3 linked regions of the Sus scrofa genome follow. The protein of the gene in region 2 interacts with the protein of the main gene of each other region in a biochemical or structural test. Links are inferred from orthologs where the notes say so. Each region holds a gene or a part of one and is shown on either strand. Other genes may lie near its edges.

What was found. The genes of interacting proteins can lie anywhere in the genome.
Region 1: the proteins of YWHAQ (region 2) and MARK2 form a complex in vitro, tested with the Homo sapiens proteins (2 studies listed by BioGRID, with this or other methods). The link is inferred for Sus scrofa from reciprocal best matches to the Homo sapiens genes YWHAQ and MARK2.
Region 3: the proteins of YWHAQ (region 2) and PRKD1 form a complex in vitro, tested with the Homo sapiens proteins (2 studies listed by BioGRID). The link is inferred for Sus scrofa from reciprocal best matches to the Homo sapiens genes YWHAQ and PRKD1.

The regions. Positions count from the first base shown.
Region 1 is NC_010444.4:8,163,634-8,167,278, forward strand, and holds part of MARK2 (serine/threonine-protein kinase MARK2), read right to left. Parts: intron 2,528-3,645; coding exon 2,479-2,527; intron 2,152-2,478; coding exon 2,086-2,151; intron 2,003-2,085; coding exon 1,932-2,002; intron 1,722-1,931; coding exon 1,665-1,721; intron 984-1,664; coding exon 747-983; intron 302-746; coding exon 182-301; intron 82-181; coding exon 1-81. UniProt on the Homo sapiens protein: Serine/threonine-protein kinase. Involved in cell polarity and microtubule dynamics regulation. Phosphorylates CRTC2/TORC2, DCX, HDAC7, KIF13B, MAP2, MAP4 and RAB11FIP2. Phosphorylates the microtubule-associated protein MAPT/TAU.
Region 2 is NC_010445.4:126,737,454-126,741,636, reverse strand, and holds the start of YWHAQ (14-3-3 protein theta), read right to left. Parts: upstream 2,843-4,183; 5' UTR 2,688-2,842; intron 2,293-2,687; 5' UTR 2,229-2,292; coding exon 1,935-2,228; intron 1-1,934. UniProt on the Homo sapiens protein: Adapter protein implicated in the regulation of a large spectrum of both general and specialized signaling pathways. Binds to a large number of partners, usually by recognition of a phosphoserine or phosphothreonine motif.
Region 3 is NC_010449.5:69,821,260-69,824,904, reverse strand, and holds part of PRKD1 (serine/threonine-protein kinase D1), read right to left. Parts: intron 2,890-3,645; coding exon 2,610-2,889; intron 1,613-2,609; coding exon 1,560-1,612; intron 1-1,559.

The DNA of each region.
Region 1 (3,645 bases), on a different chromosome or scaffold from region 2:
GTAGTCAGGGAGTGGCTCCACATAAGGCTTTAATTCATCATCTTCGTGACCCACATTCATCCATCGATCTTTCATGATTTGCTAGGGAGCAAAGTGAAGGGAAGGGCAGAGAGGGAGACTCAGCTTGGAGGTTTCCTTGGGGACCCGGCACCTTCCAGCCCGCTGGGCTCAGGCTGCTCACCTCTAAAGTGCCTCTCTTGCTGGGATTGAGAATGAGAAATTTCTTAAGCAGGTTTTCACAGTCTGTGGACATGTAGAACGGAATACGGTATTTCCCCCTCAGTACCCGCTCCCGGAGCTCCTGCAGGAGAGAAATTTAAATCACTCAAGGCCAAGGGAAGAAACCTAACACCCCGGCTCCTAATAGCTTAAGACTGGTCAGGCAGACGTAAATGAAATACGGCCAGAAGAGCCTGGAACAAGGCACCTCACTAGAGAGGTGGTGACGTCCAACACCCCACGCCCTGGGGCTGGACCCGCACGAGGCTTGCCACCCTGAGGGCCTCGGAGGGGTGAGTGGTGGGTGAATACAGGATTTACCCCAGCCCTCACGAGCAGAACTGCAGTTATTAGAGCAGGTGGAGAAGGCCTTTTAATAGCTGCTACCTTTCGCCAGCCCTTCTCTGAAGCTCCGGCATGGGAAAGATGTAGAACGGCAGCAAAGGTGAGAGACTGGGGACAAGACCAGCGCCCGAGAGAGGAAATGAGAAGTAATACAAGCGACCTAGGGCTGAACTTCACTCCACCTTGAGGTTCTGTCCATCAAAAGGCAGGGATCCGCTGACCAGTGTATAGAGGATAACTCCCAGGCTCCACACATCCACCTCAGGTCCATCGTATTTTTTGCCCTGGAAGAGCTCTGGAGCAGCATAAGGGGGACTGCCACAGAAGGTATCCAGCTTGTTCCCAAAGGTGAATTCGTTGCTGAAGCCAAAGTCTGCAATCTTGATGTTCATATCAGCATCCAAGAGCAGGTTTTCTGCCTGCGAGGCAAGATGGAAAATGTCAGGGAACCAAGTGGATGACACTAAGGCACTGGGCAGGAAGGAGCCGAGGGGAATGGGACAAGGAACAGGAAGTCATCGTCAATCTTAGACCTTTCTCCACCAACTCCGGGGCAGGCCCCCCATCAATGTGAAGAGGCTGGGCTGGGCTGGACGCTGGTGGCACAGGCTGCTCCTCACATAGGCAGCGGGCGAGAGCTGGGATCTGAAGGCTCAGAGACCCTGGGAGCTGGGCAAAGCTTCCACGGCTTCGAGGACTTAGGGCCAGGAGACTCGCACGCAGTCTCATACACTAATATCTCAGTGAGAGAGATGAGTGAGCCGCACACTTGCAGAGCAGCTGGGACGCAGCTGTGCAACAGTCAACACCGTTTCCTCGGCCAGCCACCAGGCCGCCTGCAGCCCTCCTGCCTCGCCTGGCAGCACCAGAAGGTGATGTGCCGAGAGGTGAAATGGCAGAGACTCTCTGCTCGCTGGCTGGAATGGGATCCTAAGTCCAGCCGCAAGGCCTATGTCAGAAGCAGCCCTAGAGGCTTCCTCATCCTCCCCCAAAAATGAAAGGCTGGCGTTTGACTCAGGGTGTGATGGTTATGTCACAGTTAACGAGGGTGAACAGCCCGGCCCCGACTTAAAGACCCAGGAGATAAGAGCTTGTCTTACCTTTAAGTCTCTATGAACAATAAACTTCTGGTGACAGTACTGCACAGCAGACACTATCTGAAAGGAAGGATGAGGGGTCAGCCCACGGATGCCCGAGGGTGGGCCACAGGGGCTGGTGGAGCTGCAGTCCTGTGACCAAGTTCGAAGCTGCCACATGGATAAGCAAAGCCCAAGGACCCTCCAACAGTCACTTAAAGAAAGGCAGCTCCTCCGTGTACGCCAACCCCCCCCAAAGCAGAGGTCGGGCCCACACTCCGCCACACCCACCTGGCGGAATTTGGCTCGGGCCTCTTTCTCTTTCATCCTGCCATGAGCCACTAGGTAATCAAACACCTCTCCTGCAAGAGACGGGGCAGGGGCTAGAGCTTGCTGGGGCTGGGGAAGAGGGGGACACAGGAGGAAGAAGCAATTCCATGCCTACCTCCACTAGCATACTCCATGACAAGGTAGAGCGTTTTTTCAGTCTCGATCACTTCAAATAACTTAACTATAAGAGAAAAGGCCAAGCCATGAGTCAGAGAAGCAGCAGGGGCCGCGCATCGAGCCCTAACTCGCACAGGGGCATCCTAGGAATGAAAGTTCCCTCCGTTCACATTCCTGCTCTCCCAAGGACAAGTTCCTCTCAAAGCAGCCACCCCCCCAAGGACAGCCCTGTGCGTCAGAGGCGGGCTGGACGTTAAGCTGGGCTTCCCCAGAGGCATCCCTGAAGGCGAGAGGTGCCAGAAGGTGACGCGCCTCAGGGCGGAGAGCTGCATGCTGGGAAGTGGGGGCCCGGCTGTGGGCGAAGAGGAAAGGAACGACAGCTGCTTCTCACCTATGTTGGGATGATTCAAAACCTTCATTATTCTTACTTCACGGAACAGCTGGAAAATAAAGTGCCAGGGGTCAATGCTGGCTCAGCTTGCTCCCCTCAGGTCCCCTCCAAACAGAGCCATTGCTAGGATGCTTTTTTCAAAAAGAAAAAACAGGCAGGGGAAAGAAAGAGGGCGGTTGTCCAGGTCCTCCATGTCCGACCTTGACGGCTGAGGACGTGGGCAGAAAGGAGAGCAAAGGTGGCGAGTGGGCGCTTGTGACCTGTACCCTCAGGTGTGGCATCTGGACGAGTCAGCAGTGCCCTCGGTGCTGTCTACCCAAATCCAGCGCCCAAAGAGCAGGCGGGTTTTGGCTGGTGCCTCTGCAATAGGGAGTGTGAGCCCATGAACATGAATATTCAGAATCTGAGCTGCTTCTAAAGTTCACTGACAAAGCAGGCTCCAGCCTGGTCGGTGAGAAGGGTGTGAGAGGGTGGGGGGTCCTGAAGGGGGACCCCATCATCCTCTGATCTACAGAAGTCAGAGGGCTCTGCACCAGTGGGTAGGCCTTTACCTCCTGGGCCTCGGGGTGGTGACAGAAGCAGCCACTCCTATATATAGCTGATGCCAATTTTAATCAAATCCACCTCCACACACTCACGCTCTCTTTGTGAAACAAAATCAGGGACTCCAAACCATGCATCTCCATAAAGAAAGATGACAGAGATGAACCCCATCCCTCTGCGGGGGCCAGAGAGCTGGAGGTGGGCTTTTTTCTAACTCCCAGGCCTCACCACTTGCACAGAGAGCAGAAGTATTTTGTTTTGTTTTCTTTTCAAGGGGAGGGAAGGTATGGAGACCTAATTTAGGCTATAGTTTATGGGGAAGAAGTGAACACATCTTTTTTTTTTTTCCCCCGTTAATGAAGACCCAGAGCTTTCGGGAGCTGGAAAGGAAAAAAGAGACAGGCTTTCTAATCCTCAGGAACCTGATTCTGGCCTTGGCTCCCCTTTCTTGGTAGAGCCCAGGTTTCTCTTGCTTTCTCCTCTGGTCCGGTAGTTATCTTAGATGAAGAGGCAAAAAATCCCGGACACCAGCGCAGGGGAAATAATGGGGAGCAGCACTGAAGTGGGGCCAGAAGGAGCGGCCAAGGTTCTTGTCCCGAGGGCACCCGCTGGGCCTGGAAGGGG
Region 2 (4,183 bases):
TTACTTATATTTTGGTGTCTAATTAATCTAGTCTTTTATTTCACTTAGTGAGCGTGTGTGTGTACACATATGAATATTTCATATAAACCTGTCCTAATTGCAGCGGTTCTCTTCCGCTGAAATGATGTCCGAGAAAAGTCTCCTGAATATACTTGGTCTCTCAAGTCGCTTTTCGAGTAAGCAAACTCTCCTCCACTCATGCCATCAAAAAAACGAAAATTTGTAAGAGCCACAAAAATAAAACAAATATTCCCGGCTACCTTGCTAGAGAATAGCAAAAATTCTGTGGTACTCCTGGATTGCTGCAGGGTAAGTAACAAAGTGCAAAGTAAAGACAGAATAGAAAAAGATGGAAATATGCTGTGGGAGTGCCCCAAAGTAACACGGACCTAAAAAAGCTTGTCCTTGACACAGGCATCCTGATGCATCTTCCTTGACAACAGAGAAGATGCTCTCAAGAGCCATTACCATACGCACTGAAGCCCACCACCACTTTCAAGACAGCAAAATTTTTTTGAATATAAGCAATTCAGGGCAGAAAGTTTCTCTGAGTGCCTCCTTTACAGCAGGCAGGGAATGGCAGCTAAGACATAGATGACCCTAAAATCTCACCCACATAAAGCCAATAACCTCAACAGAAGTTTCCTCCACTCTGTACACTCTCTGCATTGCTTTCTTTGCCCCTTTACCAGCTTTCTCCACCAGCCACGATTTTGTTCAGATCATCTGCTATTGGTGTTGAAAAAATAGGTGAAAGGAAAAAAAAAAACAACAAAAAACAAACCTCCTGCCCCACCAATTCGATGGGGCAAGGAAGAGAAGATTGGGACAAGAGGAATGTCCCCCTCTATTCCATCTTGAAATATCGCCAATCTAGCATGACTGTCTTTCAAAGGCCACCTAAAATACTACATGGAACGAATACATCAAAAATCGCCAAGGCCCCCTGTAAACGTGGCCCATAAGAAAAGAGGCAAATGCATCAGATGTTTCATTATTTTATTAGTAGAAATGACTCTTTGCAGTATCAAAACACTTAAAAACACTCCAGAAGATAATGCTGGCATTGAGATTTTAAAAACTTATCTTACCGATCGAAAGACCCATACAATGACAAAGCTAAAAACGTTCTCTCTCACTAATAAGAGTGAATCACAGCAGGCACCCTACTCCACCCAACAGCCACCCACGCTAAGACTGGACAGTTCAAAACCTGCAAAGTCCTCCTTGCCTCCTCCACACCAGATACGAATTCACTTCAACACATTCGTGTTTCAGCGTAGCTATGTCATAGCAAGGAAACGCTGTCAGGTACTGAAATTTGGCAGGACATTCGATTTAGCGGTGCTCTTTTCACTTTTACCAAATTCCCCCCTTTCCCCGTTTTTAACAAGGAAAAAGCTCAACAGATACTCTTGCTTGAAAAATGAAGCACCCATTCAGATTTTCGTAAAGTTCCACGACTAGGTTTGGAAAGAAAACCAAGCCTTGCTCACACACGTATCGAACAGGAGCCCGGCACCTTCTTTCAAAGGAAGCCTGACGCCTATGAATTGATTAACTACATTTAAAGGGTTCCCAGGTTTCCTCTGTAAGCTTGAACACGATGCTCAGTCTTGTACAAACCCACTCGCGTGTTTCAAAGTTACAATGGTGGGGAAGCAACCCAGCATCTAAGAAAAACCTACTTACCACTGGGGCGGGGAGAAGCAGCTTCTGGATCTCAAGAACTGAAATAACACAGCGAGCAGGCCAAGGCTATAACCTCCTCAAACCCTCGACGTCGGCAGACAATCGGGAAAGGCCCGGCCCGACTCGGTCCCCGTGAAATTCTCAAGGGAGGGCCTTACACAAAGGGGCCCCGGCGCCCCGGGACGCACGGCTCCCCGGCTCCCGCCGCCCGGCCTCCCGCCCCCGGAGGGTCGCACACTCACCAGGACCGTGGTGCAGATGGACCGCAGCTCGGACTCCACTTTCTCCCGATAGTCCTTAATCAGCTGCAACTTCTTGTCGGAGGTGTCGGTCTTCTGCTCGATGCTCGAGATGACCCTCCAGGCGGACCTGCGGCCCCCGACCACGTTCTTGTAGGCCACCGAGAGCAGGTTGCGCTCCTCGTTGGACAGCTCGGCGCCCTGCTCCGTCACGGCCTTCATGCAGGTGGCCATGTCGTCGTAGCGCTCGGCCTGCTCGGCCAGCTTCGCCTTCTGGATCAGCTCCGTCTTCTCCATGGGGCCGGGGACAGGGCAGCGAGGGCGAGCACCGACCCGGACAGCGAGCAGGCGTGCGGCGGGCCTGCGGGAGGGCGGGGGCAGGAGGGCGGGGGCGGCGCCGTCAGACAATGCGCCCGCCGCCCGGCCGCCCGCCCGCGGCGCCTTTTGTCTGTCCCCGCACGCGCGGCCCAGTTGAATTTCCCTCCCCCGCCCACGCTCCCCACGGGGCGCCCGGGAGGCCCGGGGGGCGCCCGCCCAGGCGGCCCCGGGCGGGAGAAGGAGGAGGAGGAGGAAGGGCCGCTCCCGCGCCCGCCCGGCCCAAGATGGAAGCGGCCGTTGGCCCGCACCTTCCCGCCGGAGCCGCCCCTGAGGAGAGCGGCGTCGAGGCCAGCGGCCGCTCCCCCCGGGGCTGGCCTCCCGCCCGGCTCTCAGGCCCGGCCAGGCCCGAGGAAGGCCGGGGGCGACCCTGGCGCTCACCTTCACGTCTCCGCGGCCGCGGCGCGAGTCCCACCACTTTGATCGGCTTTTGGCTTTAGCCGAGGACCCTCCCGTCTCAGCCTACCTCGGAGCCGAGAGGCGGGCCGCCGCGCGGCTGCCCTCGCTCCCGCCGCCCAATGGCGCGCCGAGAGGTCCCCTAGGGTCCCGCCTCCCGCTCCGCCTCTGGCCAATGAGCACTGAGCGCGCGGAAGGGGGCGAAGGGGGCGGGGCGGGAGGGGAAGCGGAGGCTAGGAGGGTGGGTCGGCTTGGGCAAGTTCGGTTGGCTCGCAGGCTGCGGCTTCGGCCACGGGGTTTCCTCCAATTAGATCCAGGGTAAAAGGACGTCACTGTTGCCATGGCGATGCTGTTACCAACTCCCCTCATCCTCCCCGCCACCCCCAGCCCTCGTGGGTGCGGCACGGGAGCGGGCGGTTCGCACGACCTCTCCTGCAGTGGCCGGGTCTCCTGCTGCAGCACCGCTGCAGATGGGGCATTGCATCTTGTGGGCTAATTAATGCAGCTGCGGCTCTCCTGAGCCCCGGTGAGGTCGGGCCTGGGAGGGTGATACCATCGGCTGTTTGTTGCACAAATGCCTTTCTTTCCTCCACCTTCCTATTCGTGACAAACGTTTGAAGCTCAGTACACAGAACCCAGCCTTTAATGACGTTGCGATGGGGACTGCGAATTAGATATAATCCCATCCCCATTAAAGAGGAATTCGTTTCTGGAGAAAGCGGCTTAAGCAAGGGTCTTACACGAGAAATTCATTTTCAGACGGGTACCTAAACCCTGAAGTTCCCTTGGAAAATACCAAAAAAAAAGTCCAGACAGGTCTCTCTGGCGATGCCAGATGTTGCGATTTTCTTTAAAATGGGAAATGACATGATTAAGGATAATCTGAAGAAACACACTCTTCCCCCAACTGTTTTTATATTTCTTTTCAGCATTCCCAGGTCATGTGTCTAAATTCATATTTTTCCCATCATTGTGGTCTTACATGTACATGCTTTTTATTTTCTGGTATTAATTTTGAAAGGACGCTTGCAAAGCTCAACTTCCCTCTCTAGATGTTGACTTCTGACTTTCTCCTTGTGAACACCCTTCTGGCATGAGAATGATCTGCCCAAATGCCTTTTATCCAGGGTCATGGCTATCCCTTTCCTTTCGCTTCAAACTGGGCACTCCCCTCCAGCCACTCCCTTCTCTCCTGGCACTCCCTGAATAAGGTGCTGTCCTGAGTGTCTGGGCTCAGGCTACCATGATTCCAGGTCCAGCCCAACACAGGGAAAATGGATCATTGAAAGTGAAGAAAGCCACTGCTGAGAAAGAATTTCAGATTCCAAGTAGAGCCTGGAACAGACTTGAAGACTCTAGAATGGAAGATCTGAGGGCCAACAGATGGCCGGAGAAGGTTTGGACTTTCCAGAAATCTAAACTCCCTCCCAGCTGCCCCTCCCAGTCCTGACTCGCAAAGGTTGCTTTGTGCTTTGACCGAC
Region 3 (3,645 bases), on a different chromosome or scaffold from region 2:
ATTCTCACCTGTGAGGTAACCTAACTCATCCCCTTTCACCACTTCTGGAGGTAACAAGTTTCCCAGCATTTACTCTTTTCTCTTTGAAGTAATACTTGCTAAGTAAAGCATTCTGTTTTAGATGACTGTGTTTAGAGTCTGATTTGATGACCACACTCAGGAAAGAGCAATGCATTACTTTTTCAACTTAAGTATTCCCATTCCACCCTATGGAATTTTCTGCCTGTCCTCCACTCTTGCGCTCCCTGAATTTTCAAGAATAAAAGTCCTTTTACAACAAATCCTACTCTCTGAATATTCAGTACATTCCTATTCTTTTCCTTTGTTTGTCCCCCTAGAAAACAACTACAAGTTTTTTTTCTATTCTGGGACCACAGCAGAGTGTCCAGGGTTCAGAGTTCAAGGTTGTCTGGAGATAAGAAAAATTAATTAATGCTATTCCAGAATTCTAAGTCCAAGCTACTACTCCATCTTTACTTGACAGCTCAATAGCTTTCCCAGAATTTTCAGCCAAACTGAGTGGAAGAACCCCACAGGCATCTAGAATTTCCCAAGAGGCTTTTAGGTAGATCTGTATTCCCCAGAGTCTTCTCTGGATGAGCAGGAGCATCAGGAACCTTCAGATCTTTAGAAATCTGTCTCGTGATTGGAATACATCTATTTTCATTATGAAGTTTTCCTTATTCCCCCTCATTCATATTTGGTTTTCAGTTTACTTTATGCTAATTTAGCAAAGGTTGCAAAGGTATGCTTGGGATGAATACAGTTTCATGGTGTTTATTCCTTAAAAAATAAACTCAGATCAGTATAAGTAAGGCTGAAAACATTTTCCTTTTGGTTATAGACACAGGAGGCAAAATAGAGGGAAAGATCTGAGTCACAGGATGAGGTAGGAAAGGCCTTATTACTTTAGAGCTATTTGCCACAGTGACAAGTATAACAAAAAAAGCAAACATGTCACAGAGTGTAAATTATTTCACAATATGTCTGATCTATAATTTTAAAAAGTAAGCTGAAAGGATGGAGTTATGTGGCACAGTTGACTAAGGTGCTAGAACGTGGACCCATAAAATTTTATTTTTGCAGCTTTCTGATGTCTCCTTGATATGTACAAGTGATTGAAAGAGCATCTGCAACACCTTGTCATATGACAGCACTCCTGGGTAGCAATCAAGGAAGAAGAATAATGTTTAACCTACTGGTGCAACTCAAATAATATATTTTATTTTATCTGGTATTATACAACATCAACCACCAAATTCCAGTACCAAGATATGCAAACATGTGAAAAATCAGGCATTGCATTATAATTGCTTATCTGAGATGGAAAACAGATATTTAACACTCCACACTACAGAACATATTATAGAAAATAAAAGAATTCGTACAATGTAATATTTCTAAAATCTTATAGAAGAAAAATATCCAAGTGGACCCTATTTTATTTTCTAGAAAGCACTCAAAAATTAAAATGTTAGATAAACAAAAACGTATTTTATGATGCTCTTATTTTCCAATAAAGAATCACAGAATCAAGTTTTCTATTAGTAGGTACATACCACATTTTCTTGTATCTGGCAGTTGGAGACTGAAATGCTCACAGAAACATCTCCTGGAAATACATGTTAAGAAATACACAAGAGAAGTGAGAGGGTAATAACAAAATAAGTAAACACATGCTTATTAATCAAGCGGCAGGACTGTTTTAAAATCATAGCAATTAGATTTTTCTAGGAAAATATCTATTAGGATATTTCTTTCCTTTTACAATTACAGATTTACTCTGTACTTGGCTCTAAAAAATAATATTTTGTCACTTTAGAGTTCAGAGCTATAAAGACTGGTTTGCCATTTCATAACTTGACACAAGCTGAGACAATATACTGTCTCTAGGACCTGATTTCCTCACCTGTAAAACAGGCAAATCATTATCGTCCACCTGTTGGGGTTGTGTGGGGCATTCAGATAGAGATCGCACATAAAGTGCTCAGCATCCAAATAGGCATATGCAGTCTATTAATGTGTATACTGGCTGGAGAGATCAATTAAAATGTTTTGACAGAACATCAGAAAACACACTGTGATATTAAACCAGAGGTTTTTCCAACAGGCTTCAGTATTATAGCCATTATGAGATGTTTAAGTGATATTTTTACACAGATATGCCTCTATAATGTCTTTTAAAAATTCATCCTCAATACTTGACCCTGACTGCATTTTGGTAAAACAATGAACAGAGACTTCTTCCTGGGATAAAATGATCAAGAGTTCCCAAGTACTCTGTACTAGCATTCTGCCCAGAGTAACATGTTAGATGGTTTTGAGGACACATGGTAACTCAGATATGCAAATGGCAAGACTGGCAACCCAGGTCAGGCTCAAGCTGACTAAATTACTTCTTTCAATAGACCTAGGTTTCTGCTATTGCCTAGTATATTCAATTTACACTAATTTATTCAAATGCTTAATATAAAAAGAAAAATAAAATAGGATAATTTAATCAAGGAAATATCCTAATTATTTGGAGACCCTATGTTCTCCAATAAACTAAATCATCCTCGAAGAGGCTCTCTTTATCTGTTCTAAAGATAGAGAACTAGCAGACGCACTATGCAGGTTGGTTCCTGAACCCACGGAGGAGCCCTTGGGAATAACGGGCATGAGGGCGTGCTGGATGGCCATCTCCCACATCCTGGCCACATCTGCACCAATGCCGCTGGTGAGGACGCTGCTATTTGGTGGAGGGCTGGAAGGATTGACCACATTTTCTCCCACGTAATACACGACATTTGCTGTAGTGATCTCAAAACAGTGAGGATTGGCCCCACTAGGAATTAAAGCTGATGGTTTTGCTGGTTCCAGAGACAAAATTTCTGATAAAGGAATTTCCTGTGGAAGAAAGAGTGTGTTCAAAAGCAGTTTATCAAAAGTATGTACACTTTCAAATAAAATTCATGCCAGGGACAGGTGAGAAAGGACATTGCAATCAGCCATCATTTATATAAAATGCCTTTATAAGACATAGAATATTATGAAGAAAAATTCAAAAATATCTTTGCCAGGGGGAACTTTATCAATCTCCTTTCTCCAGAAAAATTCCAGTGACTTTTTTTTTTTATTATGTTCGTGTGGCAAGAATAAGTAGAAATAAGAACAATAAATTTGAACCTATATACAAATCAAAGACTTAAAATATAAATGACAATTTTTTATAACTGTGAGGTAGAATCATAACCTTTTTGAAATGTAACTGAGTATGTACAGCTGTTTTAAAATTTCATCTATTCTTTAAGGCACTGAAAATGAATCAAGTAATCTGATTTGATAGATGTTAATATAACAATATAGCCACACAAATAGTTTTAGTGAGGAAAACCACAGCAAGTGAAGCAGTTGCTTTTAAGACAACTCTGATATTAAAAAAAATTATATATTGTCCTCCAGAAGGTATAAAGTGACTAAGAAATAATAACATTGAAAACAAATTTTTAATTTAAGAGTTAATGAGGTTTCTTTTTACTGTTAGATCGGTAAAGTGGCTGTGGAGAATGACCCCACCTATGCCTGAGCCTGCATTAATCTTGAGGGGAAAGTATATACTGTTTTCACCATGAATTTCTTTTGGAACCATGTTTTACTGGGTGA